Macaca mulatta: one gene and its partner. The protein of the gene in region 1 purifies or fractionates together with the protein of each later gene. This does not show direct contact. Links are inferred from orthologs where the notes say so. Each region holds a gene or a part of one and is shown in the gene's direction. Other genes may lie near its edges.

Region 1 (9,628 bases):
TCAGGTGATCCTCCCACCTCAGCCTCCCAGGTAGCTGAGACTACAAGCACAGGCCACTACACCTGGCTAATTTTTGTATTTTTTGTAGAGATGGGGTTTCACCATGTTGCCCAAGCTGATCTTAAACTCCTGGGCTCAGGAGATCCACTCGCCTCAGCCTCTCAAAGTGCTGGGATTACAGGTGTGAACCACCATGCCCCGCCTGGTGATGGTGATTTCAAGGTGTGGGGGTGATGGGAGCCCAGTGCCATAATCAGTTGGTCAGTGTCGGTAGCTGACTCACTCCCATGAAGACCCAGTTCCTGTCCCTCTGTCTCGGGCTGTCTTGCCTTGTACCCGTCTCATACTCTCATCTTGTAATTTTTGACGGTCAGGAATTTACAATGGCTTAGTGGGGTGGAGTTGGCTCAGGGTCTCGCACGTGGTTGCAGTCAAGGTATCATCAGTGCATCTGAGCTCCCTTGGGGTGTTGGCAGCCTCAGGTCCTCACTGGTTATTGGCCAGAGGCCTCGGCTCCTCCCATGGGCCTTTCTATAAACAACTGAGTGTCTCTGTGTCGTGGTGACTGGTTCTCCCCAGAGCCATTGACTCCACCGAGAGAACACAGAGGAAGCCTCGGTGTCTTTTATAACCTAATCTCAGGAGCTACTGAGATCACTGTAGGCCACACACACCTCCCCGGGGTGTGGGAGGGCCCGGTGGATGCCAGGGCCAGGGGTAGCGGGGTAGGGGGCTGGAGGCTGCCTGCTTTCCCTCTGCCTGCCTGTCCCACCGCCAAGCAGGCCAAAGCTGTAATTCACGTCCTTCTCTCCTCTAACTGTTAGATCTAAGAAAGAGGATCTGTTTCCTAGCATACCTTCTTCAGCCTGGAGAGTTGATCCTTTTCTATTCCCATTCCCAAAACCAAATTAAATGGCTTTTTGCCAGGATGAAACTTTTTTTTTTTTTTTTTTTTTTTGAGACGGAGTCTCGCTCTGTCGCCCAGGCTGGAGTGCAGTGGCCGGATCTCAGCTCACTGCAAGCTCCTACTCTCGGGTTCCCGCCATTCTCCTGCCTCAGCCTCCCGAGTAGCTGGGACTACAGGCACTCGCCACCGCGCCCGGCTAGTTTTTTGTATTTTTTAGTAGAGACGGGGTTTCACCGTGTTAGCCAGGATGGTCTCGATCTCCTGACCTTGTGATCCGCCCGTCTCGGCCTCCCAAAGTGCTGGGATTACAGGCGTGAGCCACCGCGCCCAGCCTAGGATGAAACTCTTGAATGACACTGGGGGCAGGGAGCAGCCCTCAGCTGAGAATGTGCCATTGTAGGCCTGGCCTCTTCCTAATGGCCCGTGCTCGGCATTCCCTGAGCAGCCCCGCTCCGCTTCCATACCTGCCCGCCTCAGGGCTGCCGCAGATCCGCAAGCAGAGGGCGTGTGGCTGGTCATGTTGGAGTGGGCATCCCCCAAGGGTCCTCAGAGCTTTCTGGGGTGGTAACACAGCCAAGCTGAAACAGGCATGTCCCCCCAGAGCCCATCCCACAACCTCTAGAAAGGGGGAAGCACCAGGAACAAGCTGGCCTCAGCAGGGCCAAGGCCCCCCAGGCTTGCTGCAACCGGCTGCTGCAGGGGACGGCAGGTTCTGCCTGCAGAGGCGCCCAGCAATTTGAGAGTGTCCAGGCCTGGAGCCACAGCTGGGCTGGGGATGAGGCTGGGAGCCAGGGCTGAGCAATGGCTGAGCCACTTGGGAGGGCAGATTTGAGGATGAATTCTCTAAGGATGCTGTACTCAACGTGTGAGGGAGCCAGGAGGGCCGTGTAGCGGGGCCCCTGGCAGGTGCTGTTCCCAGGGTGGGCAGCCCTGTCTCCAGTGGGAAGGTGGCCGCGGAAGCAGGCAGGGTGCTCTCAGGTGCCCCTCTTCCCTAGGGAAGAGCTCACCCATCTACCCAGGCTGTGCTGACCAGGCCGTGGCCCCATGCAGCATTTGCATCCAGAGAGCTCGGGGTCAGTCAGGGCTCTTGTGTCCCCAGAGGGACCCTGGCACTGCCTGTCCAGGCATCTCTCTCCTCTGGGCACGTGCTTATCTCCTTTGCCATGTGCCTGCCCACCACAGCCCAAGACCTGGTTCCATGAACAGCTGCTAGAACAGTGCCTGGCCTTAGAAGAGGAAGACCCCTCTCTCTGAGGCAGTCAGGCCATCTAGGGTGAGGGGAGTGGAGCAAGGCGGGAGGGTGGAACAGGGGTTCCCAAATCTAGACTCAAGTAAGGGCACCACCCCTGAGCATGGTGAAGGGGGCTGGAATGCTGGCCCTCATGCAGGTCCCTAGAGGCCAGGGGGAGACAGAGCCAGGCCCAGAAGCCTCCTGGGATATAGGGCCTGGGAGACAACCAGCCCAGACCTGGCACCTGGCTCATGGGTCTGCGCTGAGGAGCAGGGAGAGTTGCCCCAGTGGCACAGGATTTTGGCCTGGCCACCTGCTTCCCACAGAGAACTCAAGTCGTGGGGTAGCTGGGGGAGCTCCAGACAGCCCTTTTCTGCAAGATGGATCCCCAAGTAGGCCCCTCCCCTCAGCCCCCCTCACCATAGTGCTCCTCATAAGGCAGCCAGGTAGCCTGGGGAGGGAGGGTGCCTGCCCCTGCCTCCTCCTGCAGAATGCCACAGCAAGAAAGCCAGGTGCCTGCCCTTCCACCCCCACTGAGGGGTGTGTCCAGCCAGGCTGCTGGCCTGCGGAAGGGCCACAGGACTGAGAGGAGGCCTGCTTGGTGGGTGTGTACCCAGCCCTGGTGAGCCCTGACCTGCCTGCAAGAGGTAGGGGAGTGGCTGGGAGCTTGGCAGGAGGAGCCTTCTGAGGAACTCATCCTTGCCAGACAGTGTTTCAGGGGCTGGACCTGGGAATGACAGTGAGCAAAGGAGGGAGTGGCCCGAGGGGGTGGAGGCTTGAGACAAGGCCTCAGCCAGCCTGGGGCAGGAGCTTCAGGCAAAGCAGCCCGATGGGCATGGCCATGGCTCCTGAGGCCTCTGCCTAGCCCAGCAGTCTCCTGCTGGCCCCAGCTTTGTACTGGGAGCTGTCACTCCTGCTGACCAAGGAGGGGAGCTGGCACCCCCTGCTGGAGAGGACAGAGGGCTTCCTGGCAGAGGAGTGGGATGGGGAGGCGGGGGCGGGCTGGAAAGGCAGTGGTTGATGAACAGTGTGATGGGAGAGTCCAGGCCTGAGTGAGAAGACGGGGAGCAGCAAGGGAAGCGAGGGCCATGTGGAGGGTGGGGGCAGGGCTTGGAGGCCTGGGAACTGGGGACCGATGCTGAGTAACCGCCTGACCAGCAGCCATATGGACAGCATTTGCCTCTTAGGCCCATCCTGGCCTTGGCACAACTGAGCCCAATTCCTGGCCCCTGCCTCAGGCCAGGAAAGGTGTAGCTGGCTGGACAGGAGCCACAGTGCCAGCATCCACTTTGGTCTTAGTTGGGTTGTTTGGGTTTTGGTCCTGATCTTGTTTCTGAATGCTGCTTATGTGAGCTGGAGGGAGAGTGGACACCACCCCGCATCCCCTCTCACTGCCTTTTGATGGGATCTTAGAGAGGCTGGGCCTCGAAGACTCAGGTGTGGCCCCACTGGATCAGGTGTACAGCCCTCTTGGGGGCGGGGAGCCCTCTGGGGGTGGGGAGCCAGCCCCCACCAGTGTCCTCTTGGGTGGTGAGTGATTTCTTGGCAGCACCAACCCGGGCTGCCCTGTGGAGGGGAGAGACGCCTCAGCCAGGACCCCAGCATTGGCCATGCTCCCCTGCCCAATGTCCCAGGGCACAGCCTGGGCCCATGGGACCTGGAACAGATGCATGGGAGCCTGTGGGGTGGATGAGTCCATTACCCGTGGTGAGCCCATGTCCCCACAGAGGGAGAAGAGCTGGCGAGAGTGGCAGAGGGCACGGGCTTCCCACCCCAGGAGCCACGGTGCAGTGCGCAAGTGAAGACGGCCCCCACAAGTTCCCCAGCAGAGCCACACTGCTGGCCAGCAGAGGCTGCCCCAGGGACAGGCACCGAGCCCACCTGCAGCCAGGGTAAGGCGAGTTGGGAGCAGCCCAGCACCAGCCCGCAGGAGGCTGCCTCACAGCTGGCAGCCAGGGTGGGTTTCCTGTCCTGGCCTTGGAGGGCAGGGCCTGGGGATGCCCCATGGAATGAGATGGGGAGGAAATGGGGGTAGTGCAGGCCGGAGAGGGGAGCCAAGGGAGAGGCCCAGGCTGAAGAGTTTGGCTCATGGCCCATTGTGTCAGGGGCTGGGTAAAGAGGGACACCAGAGGCTTATTCTGTCCCTGGCATCATGGAAGGGTACTAGCGAGGGCAGGCAGCCTGCTTGGGCGCACTGCAAGACCCAGGCTGAGCCCAGAGTGGGGAAAGAGGGGCAGTCATGGACAGGGAGGAGCATGGGCCCCGTAACAGACACTTGAGGGACATCAGCAGCAGGCAGAAGGGTGGACAGGTTGGGCTGGGCCAAGCAGGCTTCCCTGTCGGCAACCACGTCAGATTCTAGCCCTGGCCTCTGTCCGGCCTGTTCCCACCAGCTGCTCCAACCAGGCAGGCCCCTTGGGGACTCCTCCTGGCGTGGGCCTCCCACAGACCACTCGGGATGGCAGGACCTGGCGCCAGCCCCTGGGGGCCAGGCATGGGCTCTGTGTAAACCCCATTCCTTTTAAAGCCATGGGGCTGCAGAGGAATGTGGAGGCGAGCCAGGCCAGCCGGGTCCTCCCGGCTCATGCAGCTCCCTAGAGGCTGCCAGGCCTGCAACTGTCCCAGCTTTCAGGCTCTGGGCAAACTCAGCCCCTTGCTCCCTCTGGAGGATGAGGTGAAAGTGGAGGCCCTGGAGCCAGCCCAGTGACCACACCTAGCTGAGTGACCAGCTCTGGGCTTCAGTGTCCTCCCTGGGGCATAGACACCAATAGGACATGGATCCTAGGATGGTTGTGGGGATGTGACAGTTCATGCAAGCATGATGCCTGGAGGTCTTACAGAACGCAGCAAGGCTTGGGGAGTCTCAGGCCCTGGGCTTTTTGAGTTCATGGTGTTACTGGGTGAGGTTCACAGTCCCAGCTCCTCACAGCCCAGGGCCAGAGTTGGGTCCCTGCAGGCTTGAGCCAAGTATCTGCCCAGGGTAGAAGCCTTGGAGCCTGCCAGCCAGCACAAACTACACAGCATAAAGACCCAGGACCAGTGGGGGCGAGATAAAGTGCTCACTGTGTGATGCAGCAGGCAGGAGGTGCTCTTGGTCCCTTTGTCTTCCAGAGGGGAAACTGAGGCCTGAGCCGAGAAGGGAAGGGGAGGCTCAGGAGGCTGCGAGTGAGACTCAGCCCCTGAGCTCTCCCCCAACAGCTGCCAGCTCCAAGGCCCCCAGCGGTGGGAGTGCCCAGCCACCAGAGGGTCACCCAGGCAAGGCAGAGCCCAGCCGGGCTAAGTCCCGCCCCCTGCCCAACATGCCAAAGCTGGTCATCCCCTCCGCCGCCACCAAGTTCCCCCCTGAGATCACCGTCACGCCACCCACCCCAACCCTGCTCTCCCCCAAAGGCAGCATCTCGGAGGAGACCAAGCAGAAACTGAAGGTGACCTCAGGGTCTGGGCCGGAACCACGCGTGTGGGTGGGCCGCACAGGTTACAAGGGGACCTAGGGTGGGGGTGGGGGTGGCAGGAGGGGCTGGGGGTGTAGGTGAGGATGGCATAGGGGCCTGGGACAGGGGTGAGGGTGAATCGGGAGCCTGGGGCAGGGGTGAAGGTGGCAGAGGGGTTTGGGGCAGAGCCCAACCATCCCTGACTAGTGCCCCGCTCGGCCCTCTCTGCAGTCAGCCATCCTTTCTGCCCAGTCTGCTGCCAACGTGAGGAAGGAGAGCCTGTGCCAGCCGGCCCTGGAGGTCCTGGAGACATCCAGCCAGGAGTCCTCGCTGGAGAGCGAGACAGACGAGGACGACGACTACATGGACATTTGAGGGGCCCCTGCAGCCCCACCGCCACGCCCCAGGAGACTGGCCAGGCCTGGGATGCCCTGGAATGCCCCCTCAGCCTGGACCCTGGGCAGGGCCAGAGGCCCACGTGGGATGCCACTCCCCACACAGCCCCCAGGCCTGCCCAGTCCACCTCCTCATGGCATTCACCCTGTACCCAGGTCAGGGCTGTCCACACCACGTGGGAGCCCAGAGGAGGAGGGGTCCACCTTAGCCATGTGAAGGTGGATTGGTCGCCATCTGCACGCCAGGCGGCATCGTTTTCTATGAAATGTTGACTTTCTAAATCTGCCCACACCCAGCTGGCCATGTCCACCCCTCGACGCCGGGATGAGCCGGCTGTGCCTGTGTCACAGTGGAGGGGTCCTTTAGGGCCAGGCTCGCCCCTCACTTTTTTTGGTTGCTTTTCTAATAAAGATGGAACAGTTGTCTTTGCCTCTTTGCTCACCTCTAGGGGGCAATCCCGCAGAGTCTTGGGTGGAGGGTTGCTGTCCCCAGGGATTCTGGGCCTGGGCCTTTACTGCCATAGCCCATAGGGCAGGGCCCAGCCCCCATCCTTCTCCAGCATCTCAGGGATCAACCAGGCAACCAAAGCAGCGACTGGGGGTGCCCAGTGGGGTAAGGAGAGTGCCGGTTTGGGGCTGGGCTGGGCAGACGCCTCCAGTGCAGCTGGAGCCGGGCCTCAAAGGGGCATTAGGTGCATCCCCAGAATTCCCCCGGCTGTTGGTGGGTGGGAGGCTGTATGGTGGGAGGGCAGGCAGGACTGGGGCTGCTGAGAGGCTGGGAGGAGGGGCCGTCAGGGAGGGAAAGGGGGGATGGGGCCGGCAGGGAGGACACTTAGTCCCAACACCATCGCCCTAACAGGGCCAGTCAGAGAATAGCTGTGGGGCTCAGTGCAAGACGTAAATATGAAGCCCCTTGTTCAAAAATGATTAAGGATTTTTTTTTTCTTTTCTTTTTTTTCTTTTTTCTTTTTCTTTTTTTTTTTTTTTTTTTTTTTTTGAGGCAGTCTCACTCCATCTCCCAGGCTAGAGTGCAGTGGCACGATCTCAGCTCACTAAACTTCCGCCTTTCGGGTTCAAGCGATTCTCCTGCCTCAGCCTCCCAAGTAGCTGAGACCACAGGCACACGCCACCACTCCCGGCAATTTTTGCATTTTTAATAGAGATGGAGTTTCACCATATTGGCCAGGCTGGTCTCGAACTCCTGACCTCAAGAGATCCACCCACCTTGGCTACCCAAACTGCTGAGATTACAGGCGTCAGTCACCATGCCTGATCAAAAATGATTAAGGATTTTTTTTTTTTTTTTTTTTTTTTGAGATGGAGTCTCGCTCTGTCACCCAGGCTGGAGTGCAGTGGCTGGATCTCAGCTCACTGCAAGCTCCGCCTCCCGGGTTTACGCCATTCTCCTGCCTCAGCCTCCCGAGTAGCTGGGACTACAGGCGCCTGCCACCTCGCCCAGCTAAGTTTTTGTATTTTTAGTAGAGACGGGGTTTCACTGTGTTAGCCAGGGTGGTCTTGATCTCCTGACCTCGTGATCCGCCCGTCTCGGCCTCCCAAAGTGCTGGGATTACAGGCTTGAGCCACCGCGCCCGGCCTATGATTAAGGATTTTAAAGCAGCCCCCACAGAGCATTAAACAAGCCCCTGAAGCTGGCCCCGCCCCTGAAGGTTCCAGGCCCATCTGTTTTGGGGATGTACAGGTTCCAGGGGCCCAAACCCACCCTTCACCACCCTCTTCCCCTCCCAGCACCACAGGGGCCCTCCTGGCCCCTGGGACCGCCCACGAAGCAGGCTCTCTGTCCAGGATGGAGATGGGGACCCTCCTCACTGCCCTGTGCCCCTCATGGGCTGGACATGCCCACCACCCAGGAAGGAAGGCGTAAAGGGCTGGGCACCGCCCTTGTGGAACCAGAGGCTTGGCGGCCCTAGATGGTTCTGGCTGAACCCGCCTTCGGAGGGCTGAGATGAGCCGGCCGGCCGCAGTTACTCAGCTGACGCCCCCTCCCTGCAGGGCCTGGGGTAAGGAGCTTCCCAGACTGCACACCTAGCCCCCACCGCACTTCCATCATCTCCAGACACACACAGCAAGGGTGCCCAGGCCAGAAACAGGAAGCAGCAGCTCTTCGTCCTCCTGTTCCCGGGAACCGTCTCAGCCAACCCCCAACACCCCTCCCTGGATCCTCACCTCAGGGACACCTCGGACCCTCCCGTGCACCCAGTACTGTAGGGAGAAACCTCAGCCCTGGGCCCGGGATGAGTGCCCTCGCCAGCCTGGGATCAGGAGACAGGCTCTCCCTGGCTCAGCACCTGAGTGTCCACTCACAGGACACTCACCTGCAGAGATGCCCTGAGCGCCGTTGTGGGTTAAGGGACTTTTTCCCCTCTGGAAACAGTCGCTGGGAAGCTGAAGGTCTTGAGGGCCTCTCACCAAATGTCTTTGGGAGGTGGGAAGACATCAAATGTGGGTGTGGCTTCCCTGGAACAGCTGTGTGTGAGGACTCAGGAGCCAAGTCCCCCAGCGCACGCCTCTAACACCTTCAGTAAGGGCCACCCCTCTGGAGCCACAGGTGGCTGCCAACACGCTGTGGTTCCCAGCAGGCACCACCCAGGCAAGAGAGAGAACAGGCCGGGGAACAATGGACTGGCCTGGCCCCAAGTGCTGGGCAGATCAGAGACCAGATGGCCTAAGCTCATGCCCTGGGGCCAGCTCTGACTCCCTGCAAGTGTGGCAAGAGTCCCTTTTGGACACCTTGAGAAGCTGCAGCTGGGAGAGGACCACCCGCCTGTCTGGACATCCAGCCCAGATGGCAGGGCCCAAGTGACCAATCCCAGGCCACAGCCCTTACGGCCCACCCTGGCTGCAGGGGCTCCCAGAAGCCACCAAGGGCCTGACTTGGCCTTGCCTGTCCACATCTGAGCTTCAGTTTCCTCATCTGCTCAAGAAGGGGAGGGAAACACTGATTAGATTATGCAAACTCTGAGTGGCAGGATTAGGTGTGGCTGGGAGAGTCAAGGCTCCCCAGTGTGGTGGCATCTCTGGAGCCCGGGGATGGGCCCTGTCTCCCTTCTGGCCCCCCAGCTGGGCTTGAGTACTTCCTCTCCCCTCCCTCCTTCCTCCCTCCGGAGGGGTCCCCTGCAGAGCTGCCTCAGCCCCAGGGCTCAGCCTGTGTCTGACCCAAACAGCTCCCGCATCCCGGGAGGATGAGTTGGGAGCACCTCCTTCCTGCAGGAAGATGAGGGCTAGAGATGGAGGTCAATGTCAGGGCCACAGAGGCTAGACTCCTGCCTGGAGCTTAAACAGCCCTGCCTTACCCACCCTGTGCATCCCATCCTCTGCTGCAGCCCCGCCCGGCACACCCTGCACACAGGGCGGGGCTGGGACCCAGGGTCTGAGCTTTGGCCTCTGGACATCCGGCTCATCGCCTGCCAAAGGCCCTACAGCTGGAGGCTCCAGCCTCCTCACCCTCCCACAGGGTCCCAGGGCCGACCCATGCCTGCGGGCCAGGAATGTGCTAACGGGGCAGGTTGGGCCTTGCTGGTCCACGCAGGCACCTGTGGACTTTGAGAGGGGACCCGGCGGGGAGGGGCGAGGAGGGGCGGGGCGGGGCGGGGCGGTGCCGCAGAGTGCAGGGCGGGCGGGGCCAGGCCGGCTGGGAATGAGCTTC
Region 2 (9,628 bases), on another chromosome or scaffold:
CTCACAGCTGTCTGAGCGTGGAATGAGATCGTGTTGTGAAGTGTCTTTTTTTTTTTTTTTGAGACGGAGTCTCGCTCTGCCGCCCAGGCTGGAGTGCAGTGGCCAGATCTCAGCTCACCACAAGCTCCACCTCCCGGGTTTACGCCATTCTCCTGCCTCAGCCTCCCGAGTAGCTGGGACTACAGGCGCCCGCCACCTTGCCCGGCTAGTTTTTTGTATTTTTTAGTAGAGACGGGGTTTCACCATGTTAGCCAGGATGGTCTCAATCTCCTGACCTTGTGATCCGCCCGTCTTGGCCTCCCAAAGTGCTGGGTTTACAGGCTTGAGCCACTGCGCCCGGCCCTATGTTGTGAAGTTTCTAGCATTATGCCTCAGTGCCAAGTGATCAGTCGGTCTTATTCACAGGTGTGCTGTTTGGAGGGTATTTTTGGTTAGAAGGATTAACCTTTTTTTCCTGAGATTAAAAAATGTATTTTCTTGGCCTGGCATAGTGGCTCACACCTGTAATCCCAGCACTTTGGGAGTCAGAGACATGAGGATCACTTGACCACAGGAGTTCAAGACTAGCCTGGGCAACACAGTGAAACTCCATCTCTGCAAAATAATGTAGAAATTAGCTGGGCATGATGGCGCATGCCTGAAGTTCCAGCTACTCAGAAAGCTGAGGTGGCTGAGGTGGGAGGATTGCTTGAGCCTGAGAGGTCAAGGTTGCAGTGAGCCGTGATCACACTACTGCACTGGGTGAAAGCAAGACCCTGTCTTAAAAAAAAAAAAAAAAAAAAACATGGCTAGAAGGCCTGGCGCAGCATCCCAACACTTTGGGAGGCTAAGGCGGTCTGATCACTTGAGGTCAGGAGTTCGAGACTAGCCTGGCCAACATGGTGAAGCCCCATCTCTACTAAAAATACAAAAATTAGCCGGATGTGGTAGTGCACGCATGTAATGCCAGCTACTTGGGAGGCTGAGGCAGGAGAATTGTTTGAACCCAGGGGCTGGAGGTTTTAGTGAGCCGAGATCATGCCACTGCACTCCAGTCTGGGTGACAGAGCGAGACTCTGTCTCCAAAAAAAAAAAAAAAAAAGCCGGGAGTGGTGGGACGCACCTGTAATCCCAGCTCTGGGGAGGCTGAGGCGTGAGAATCACTTGAACCCAGGAGGCGGGTTTTGCAACGAGCTGAAATCGCGCCACTGTACTCCAGCCTGGGTGATGGTGAGACTCCATCTTCCCCCACCAAAAAAAACCAAACCAAAAAAAAAATGTTTCCTTGATTGAGGTCTGATTGCCTGATTGCCAGAATCGGGGCCAATGAGTCTGTACCAAGGGTCAGCCTGTTGGATGAGGGCCACTGGGCAGGATGAGAAAAAGTAATTTCACATCCCTTTATAATTCCTGTTTCAGTAAAATGGTATCTTTTTCGTTTAGAGGAAGAGACAGTAGCAGGGGTTGGTTAATGTGTTTATTTGTGGGTTGAAACCAAATCAGTAGGTCAACTGAAATGAGAACTCCAGTGCTCTGATTGCACGTTTTTGGGGGCTCCAAATGCCCTTCTCCATTGCAGACAAATGCATGGAGGATACACAGAGAACTTTGGATCCAATTCAGAGGATTCAGTCCTGGACTTCGGGTTCAGGGAACTCCTAAGTCGCCGTGGGTCTACTCTGCAGTGTTAAAAGTACAATGAAATCGGACACATTCGTGCAGCATTCTTTTAGTGTATATTTCTTAATAGTATGAAGGCACTGTGCTAGATTCAGAGGACTGTAGAAAGGTGGAGAAAACACTGTACCACACTCAAAACAAACGTGTAGATGGTTTAGGAGAATGGTACCACCACAGGTAACAGAAATTACAATACGGTCATTGTTTAAGTCTGGTACAACACAGGCCCTGGAGGTCTTGGAAAGAAGAGAGCTTATATCCTGATTAGTATTTGGACAGAGCTGGACCTTCCATCATACAGTCAGGAAATAGTAGTTATTGGAAGACTGCTGTTGGCAAGGCATTGAGTAGTATACATGGAATCCAGTGCTCCTCAAGGTTGGTGGGATTTCTTACTGTTACATAACCACTCAAGTTATATGTGATCATCCTAGAAAAATTAGAAGATCCAGATAAGTGTGTTTGAAAGACTCCCCATTTGTGGTATGTTCATTAGATGTATGCTCTATAATATCCCATTGTATGTGTACACCACAAATCATTTAACTGATCCTTTGCAGGTAGTATTTCAGTAGGCAGAGATGGAAGGGTGAGATAAGAAAGTTTGTTTGAAACAGGCATACAATCTTTAATGTTTTCTGTCTACCTTGAAGTCTTTTTTTTTTTTTTGAGACGGAGTCTCGCTGTGTCGCCCGGGCTGGAGTGCAGTGGCCGGATCTCAGCTCATTGCAAGCTCCGCCTCCCAGGTTTACGCCGTTCTCCTGCCTCAGCCTCCCGAGTAGCTGGGACTACAGGCGCCCGCCAACTCACTCGGCTAGTTTTTTGTATTTTTTAGTAGCGACGGGGTTTCACCGTGTTAGCCAGGATGGTCTCGATCTCCTGACCTCGTGATCTGCGCATCTCGGCCTCCCAAAGTGCTGGGATTACAGGCTTGAGCCACCGCGCCCGGCCTACCTTGAAGTCTTAAACATTTTTGGTACAGGAGTCTTGTTAAGGTTCCTGGCTTCTGGCTGGGTGTGGTGGCTGTCACCTGTAATCTCAGCACTTTGAGAGGCTGAGATGGGCAGATCATTTGAGCCCAAGAGCTTGAGACCAGCCTCGGCAACATGATGAAACCCTCTCTCTATAAAAGACTTAAAGAAAAAATGAGCTAGGCCTAGTGTTGCATGCCTGTGGTCCCAGCTATGCAAGAGGCTGAGGCAGGAGGATTACCCGAGCCTGGGGAGGTTGAGGCTACAGTGAGTCATGATTGTGCCACTGCACTGCAGCTTGAGTGACAGAGTGAGACTATATCTCAAAACAAAAAAAAAAATTTTTTTTAGATTCCTTGCTCAAGAACCTTAAGGCTTATCTCTGGAAAATTTGCTTGATGAGAAAAGAATAAGCTTATAAAATGGAAATAAGCCTTGGAAGCCTGAGTTTAACTTTGGTAGCACCGAGAGAAGTGCAATTTCAGACCTTTCTAAACAGTGTGGCAGAACGGCTCTCAAGAACTTGTACCACGTTCAGTGGGATTTTCACATTTTTGAGCCATTGACTCTTTTGGAAGTCAATGGACTCTTTCTTAGAATGTTTTTAAATGCATGAAGAAAATTTTAGAGTTACGAGGGAAGTCCGCTGTATTGAACGTGGTTGTGTAGCGATTGAGCATCTCCTTCTAAAGGCCCTTTGCTGTCTTTGAGCCCTGTAGCCCCTCCTGCTGTGGTGGATAATTGTAGGCATTCAGTCAAGTTTTATTAACCTGCGTGAATGGAAATTTTACTTTCTTAATTAAGATAAACATTGATGAGATAGTAGCATGTTTTATACCTTGCCTTTTTCTGAAAAACATTGTTTTTATATAGGTATTGAGTAGTCAGTGGAGTTTCTACGAATAAGAACATGGGACTATTTTGTGACTTATTTTTTATGGAACAATCTCTTTACAGAAGAAAGATCTGTCAGATCCTTTCAATGACGAAGAAAAGGAAAGGCATAAAGTGGAGGCCCTTGCCCGGAAATTTGAAGAAAAATACGTAAGATTTCTCTCTTGAGCAACAAAACAACCTCATTGGGTGGGAGAGGTTTCCATACATTTCTGTATTCCTTTAGTGGATTATCATGTAATAAACACTGATGTGGACATAAGCATTAAGCTTGGAGAGAACAGAAGCAGTTATTAAACCTAATGCATTAAGGTACAGAAAACGGGCATGGCAGAGCTAGAGTGAGGAGCTAACTGGACAAATAACCGAGAAGGGCCTGTGATCGTCTTAGAAGAAATGTTTTGGTACGAAGCATAAGAAACCATTTAGTTCATTTTTCTGTCCTAGGACATTTTATACAGATACAAATCTGCCCTGTGTTAAAAGGTTTTCAGGAAAGGAGATTTTGGGGTTTGTGTATGTGAGAGAGTGACCTTTCTAGTTAGTGCTTTTCCTCTTTGAGTCATAGCTGATGAAGTTCAAGGCCACAGTTAATTCTGTGTATTTATCAAAAAGCATGTAATCTGTTGCTTTTACATTTTAGGGTGGAAAGAAACGTAGAAAAGACCGAATACAGGACTTGATCGATATGGGGTATGGTTATGATGAATCCGATTCCTTCATCGATAACTCTGAGGCGGTAAGTAGTTACTGAAAATGCCGTGTCAGACCCACTGTGCCATAGCTCCTCCTCATACTGGCCAGGAAGCTGGGGGTGGGGTCACAGCGGCCATGCCCTCTTCCCAGCATGAGGCAGTAGCAGCGCTGATGAGAGACAAAGTGACATTCTTGATCCGGGCCTTAGTTCCCTCTTCAGAAAATGTTGACCAGAAGGATGTTTTAGCATGCTCTTGGAAGTGTCAGAGGAACATACTCACATCTCTCTCTAGACCTGCTTTGCACCTTTGGACTACAGAAGCAGAACTTGGAGCTGACAGTTTGTTTCACCCTTTCAGTATGATGAGCTTGTTCCTGCTTCTTTGACTACGAAGTATGGAGGATTTTACATTAACTCGGGAACCCTGCAGTTTAGACAAGCATCAGAGTCTGAGGATGACTTCATTAAAGAAAAGAAGAAAAAGTCTCCAAAGGTTAGAATGTGCTTGCTTTTGGATTTTAGAAATGCTTTTTGATGTGACCCTATCAGATGAGTAGGTGACTCGTCAGAATACGTGGTGCTTGGCCGGCTCAGGAGGACGGTGGAAAGGCAGAGCCGTGCCAGGTCGATGGTTCACCTCATACACATGTGCCCTGATGAGGACACGTGCCTGTGGGGGCTCTGTGCGGCACTTGGTCATCGTGTCCACCTCACATAACATCCCAGCAGGCTCAGCAGGGATCGTTTCTGGAGGTGGCCTAAGGGTGGGAAGGGTGTGGAGTGAGGGATGTGTACCACTCTTGCTGACCCTCTTCTGTGGACGTGTAGAGGACTTCAGTTCCCAGGGCTGCCACCCCACTGAAAACCAGTCAGCCTTAGGATCAGTGTGTTTAAAAACCTGTCTACCACTGCCTATGTGTTTAAAACAAGAGGTAGGGCCCACTTGTAACTTTCAAACTAGAAAGGTTTCAGGCTCCAGAATGGTCACTTTTGTCTCAGCCCTGGGTGTTTCCAGGAGACACCGTCGGTGGGAATGCTGTGGGTTTGTGGTCCAGGGACCAATCTGAGAGCTTTTGTTCATGAAGGAAATGAGACAGGTCTCAGGATGTGCCCTGGGCGGAGCAAGGCCAGTGCCGTGTAGTGCACTTGCTCCCTGAGTTAGGGAGCCGTGTAACTGTGCCTTGTCTTTAATTCTCAGAAGCGGAAGTTGAAGGAAGGTGGTGAGAAGATAAAGAAGAAGAAAAAAGATGACACTTATGACAAGGAGAAGAAATCGAAAAAGTCCAAGTTTTCCAAAGCCGGGTGAGAGGCAGCAGCTTCTTTGCTAGGATAAAGCCTGAACTGTTAGGGCAGGACGACTGGGAGCTGACTCACCTCCTCCCCACAGCTTCGGAAGAGGCAGCAGGGCCTAGCCTTCCTGTCCTCCTGCACGCCTCCCGCGGTGCCATTCTGGGCATACACGCTCACCTCTCTGTGTGTCAGATAGTTCCACTGTCAGTGTTGGCAGCTATTCTTGTCACTGTGTGACTGCTGATGTTTCTCGTTCTCCGGGACGCTCCTCTCTGCCCCAGTTCTCCTTCTGTCTCTGCTGTTTTCCCTTGTCGTCTGTGGTCCTGCTTCCTTCTCCTCACTTGGTCTCACCCCAGCTGCTCTTCAAGTTGCTGCTGTTCTCTGCTGCTCCTGCTTTCTCCCTGTAAATACTTTTCTTGCTCTCCCTGCCCCTTTTTGCAACCTTTTATTTCAGCCTGGCAGTGGTTTCTAAAAACCCGTCGGAAATTTAGCATATGTGACACTGTGTTGCTAACCTGTATTAACTCTCAAGCTTTGGTCTCAGCAAGAACGAGCTCCATATGCCAAGAGGAGGGAGGAGGAATGACAGGGTGGACTGTGACAGGTTCTCCTGGAGACCATGGCCCTGGGAGCAGGGGTGAAGGCCTCTGGAGTTCCCTTTGGCAGTGTCCTGTAGTCTGAGTGACCAGTTTCCCTCTTGCTTGCAGCTTCACAGCCCTCAATGCCAGTAAGGAGAAGAAGAAGAAGAAATATTCTGGGGCGTTAAGCGTTAAAGAGATGCTAAAGAAATTTCAGAAGGAGAAAGAGGCTCAGAAAAAAAGGGAGGAGGAGCATAAGCCTGTTGCGGTCCCATCAGCGGAAGCTCAGGGCCTGCGAGAACTGGAGGGTGCCTCTGACCCCTTGCTCTCACTCTTTGGCTCCACTTCTGACAACGACTTCCTCCAGGCGGCCACTGCCATGGACTCGCTGACGGATTTGGACTTGGAGCATCTGCTCAGTGAGTCTCCAGAAGGAAGCCCCTTCCGTGATATGGATGATGGAAGTGATTCCCTTGGGGTGGGATTGGACCAGGAATTCAGGCAGCCCTCTTCTCTCCCCGAAGGCCTGCCAGCACCCCTGGAGAAGCGCGTTAAGGAGCTGGCTCAGGTATGGTGACACAGTGCGGCTGGGCTTTCCTGGAAGCAGTTTGGGCAGATTGCCGTTGGTTCTGCACTGCGTGAAGCTCGCCCAGAGAAACCTTAGTGAGTTGGCAGTTAAGGTGTCAGCTTTTTCCAAACTCTCTTCTCATTCTGAGGGAGAAAACAGTGCAAGCCTTGCCCGTCAGGCATCATTTTAGGCCATTCTTCATTTCTTCATTTCTGGAAAGTTTGCTTTCTTCTGGGGAGATGGTTGTCTTTCTGTTTTCTGTCAGATTATTCTGTTTTCTGTCAGTTTTCCACTCGGCATCTTTTCTTTCATGTGATAGATGGATGATGTTGGCAACAGGCAGCTGAGGCAGAGATTCATCTTAGAATTCTTCCGAAGGTTTTGCAAATTCACAAAAGTTTGCAAACATATGAATTGCACATAGAGTATATGCTTCGTTGCCACTAGGTTTCAGTTGCTCCTTTGCATTGTGTATCTAGAGTTAGGTAGTGATTACGGGAATGCTTCCAATGTGATGAATGAAAAGTAACTTAATTTTAATTGCCGTCCATGCCCCGTTAAAACCCACCATTGGCGGGGCACGGTGGCTCACACCTGTAATCCCAGCACTTTGGGAGGCCGAGGCAGGTGGATCACCTGAGGTCAGGAGTTCGAGACCAGCCTGGCCAACATGGTGAAACCCTCTTTCTACTAAAAATACAAAAATTTAGCTGGGCAGGGTGGTGCATACCATAATCCTAGCTACTTGAAAGGCTGAGGCAGGAGAATCACTTGAATCCAGGAGGCGGAGGTTGTGGTGAGTGGAGATGGCGCCAGTGCACTCCAGCCTGGGCCACAGAGCGAGACTCTGTTAAAAAACAAACCAACCACCATCACCACCTTTAGGATATAGCAGCTCTTGCTGTTTTCCTCCAGTGACTGGGAATTGATCCCTAAGCTCTGAGAATTGTCTGTTCAAGTAACATATTTCTTAACTGTAAACCTGGCATGGATCATTAGTTGTAATATCATTTACCTTTAAGTTAAAATAACATTTTATCTTAAGCATCAGGACTTGTGATGCAGCTCTGGTGGCACTCATAATCTACAGCTGTAGGTTTTAAACCAGCAGTTCTTACAGTATTTTAGAAGCATTGTTACGTATAGTATCCTTTGTGTTTTAGGGCAGGGTAAATTGTCAGCCACTGCTAAAATGATTTTCTCACTTCCAAAAACTATTTGAACGCCGTATATAAAGCAAATAAAGTATCTGTTCCAATCTCTATCTCATCTTTGTCAGCTTGTGTTCAGCATTGGAAATTCAAGTATTGTATTTGAATGTAATGATTTAAATGAATTGTGCCATGTTGGGGTTTGGAGTATCCCTTAAGTATGACCTTGAGGTGGAAGTAGCTGAATCTGAACTTGGTGTGTTTGAGCCTACTGTCCTATATTTGCTTTCAGAATTCATGTTAAACAAACATTATATCTTGCTCTTTTTAATCCTCTGGTTTGTAATCAAATTGTTTCATAGTCTCTGAAAGTCTTGTTAAATCATTTAAGGTCTATGTGATGATAGCTGCTCATTAGAGAAAAGTCAAAACCAAATTCTTGGCTGTGTCTCCACTCATGCCATAGGTTGTGTTCTAGTGTGAAGACTTGCTGTTTCACTTTCTTGGGAAAGATAGGGACAGATTTAGTGTCAACAAAATGATACAACCGGAAAAAGCATGGGGCTCTGGTGCAAGAAAGCGGAACTGAGTAAACACCTTGTTAGGCAACCTGCCCTGCCTCAGTGATTGCCAAGTGTCGGTTAGCTCTTGGGCATAACAAACACATGGTTCAGGATCCCATAGTCAAGGTGGGCCTGGGGCCCGGTGGGGAGCTGGTGACCAGGAGAGGCTGATGTTCTGGTTTGAAAATATGATATTCAAATGTGAAGTTGATATTCGAGTCTTCGCATTGCCCTTCTCCTGTAACAGCTTTAAGAAACTTTGAAAATGGGGTGGCAAGTGTGTAGAAATGATCCATCCGGCCAATATAAAAACAATTTCTAGTTGGATATTCTTTTCTAGCCTCTGTGTATGTGTTTTTATGCAACTGTAATTATAGTTGTGAATAACTGTTTCCTGCCTTTTTACATAATATTGTAAAACCCTCATCACTTTTCATGGTTGCATTAAAAAGGTGGCTTATTTTAGAAAATTGCTGAATGCTACTCCGAAGGGTCCTCAGGTGCGCTGTTCTGACCAGGGCCCTGTTCTCGGGGCATTTGGAGGCCCCACATGTGTGTGCAAATGCTCTGGACCCCTGATCCCGCTGAGAATCTGCTGGGAAACATAGTCTTCCCAGGGAAATAATGCACTGGTATACATACACAAATTGCTTATGATTCCAAAAGCCACACGTGATTATTTGGATCCTTAATAATGAGTCTATCCTAGATCTTGAAATGGATATCACATTTTTAAAATTTAAAGTAAACCTGCTGTATGTAACTGGAACATTAGCAGTGTTACGTGTTTCTCACTTTATTTTTCATACCCCTAATTTTTCCCCCCTTTTCCCTTTATTGTAAGATTGGTTAGACTTTACGTCTTGGCCCTAGATGGCACACAAATCAGTTTCTATCACTGTCTACAAAACACCCCCCCAAAATTGGCCTTATCGTAGCAGTTGGTTTCTCCTGAGTCTGGGCCCATGCTCATGGCTGCATTCAGCTGGCAGGTTGGCCAGGTGCTGGCAGGGCTTTTCTTTCCTGGCCTTTCATCCTGCCTTCTTCAGGGCATGGTGGTCTCAGGGCGACATCTCAAGAGGGGAAAGGTGGAAGCCGCAGGACTCTTGAGAGCTAGCCTTAGAGGCTATGTGTATCACACGACTTCCACCACACTTTTGGTCATAAGAAATCACAAGAGCCGCCCAGATCCAAGGATTAGGGAGCTAGGGTGCACCTCTTAAGGAGGAGGATTTCTTTGATCCTGGTTTGTTGCTG

Evidence for each region.
Region 2: the proteins of CABIN1 (region 1) and UBN1 purify together in Homo sapiens (affinity purification with western blotting; 6 studies listed by BioGRID, with this or other methods). This does not show direct contact. The link is inferred for Macaca mulatta from reciprocal best matches to the Homo sapiens genes CABIN1 and UBN1.

The regions. Positions count from the first base shown.
Region 1 is NC_133415.1:28,356,713-28,366,340, forward strand, and holds the end of CABIN1 (calcineurin-binding protein cabin-1), read left to right. Parts: intron 1-88; coding exon of another isoform or gene 89-234; exon of another isoform or gene 235-903; intron 904-3,865; coding exon 3,866-4,030; intron 4,031-5,249; coding exon 5,250-5,612; intron 5,613-5,800; coding exon 5,801-6,237; 3' UTR 6,238-6,387; downstream 6,388-9,628. UniProt on the Homo sapiens protein: May be required for replication-independent chromatin assembly. May serve as a negative regulator of T-cell receptor (TCR) signaling via inhibition of calcineurin. Inhibition of activated calcineurin is dependent on both PKC and calcium signals.
Region 2 is NC_133425.1:6,120,367-6,129,994, forward strand, and holds part of UBN1 (ubinuclein-1), read left to right. Parts: intron 1-3,587; coding exon 3,588-3,674; intron 3,675-4,167; coding exon 4,168-4,263; intron 4,264-4,579; coding exon 4,580-4,714; intron 4,715-5,419; coding exon 5,420-5,523; intron 5,524-6,218; coding exon 6,219-6,657; intron 6,658-9,628. UniProt on the Homo sapiens protein: Acts as a novel regulator of senescence. Involved in the formation of senescence-associated heterochromatin foci (SAHF), which represses expression of proliferation-promoting genes. Binds to proliferation-promoting genes.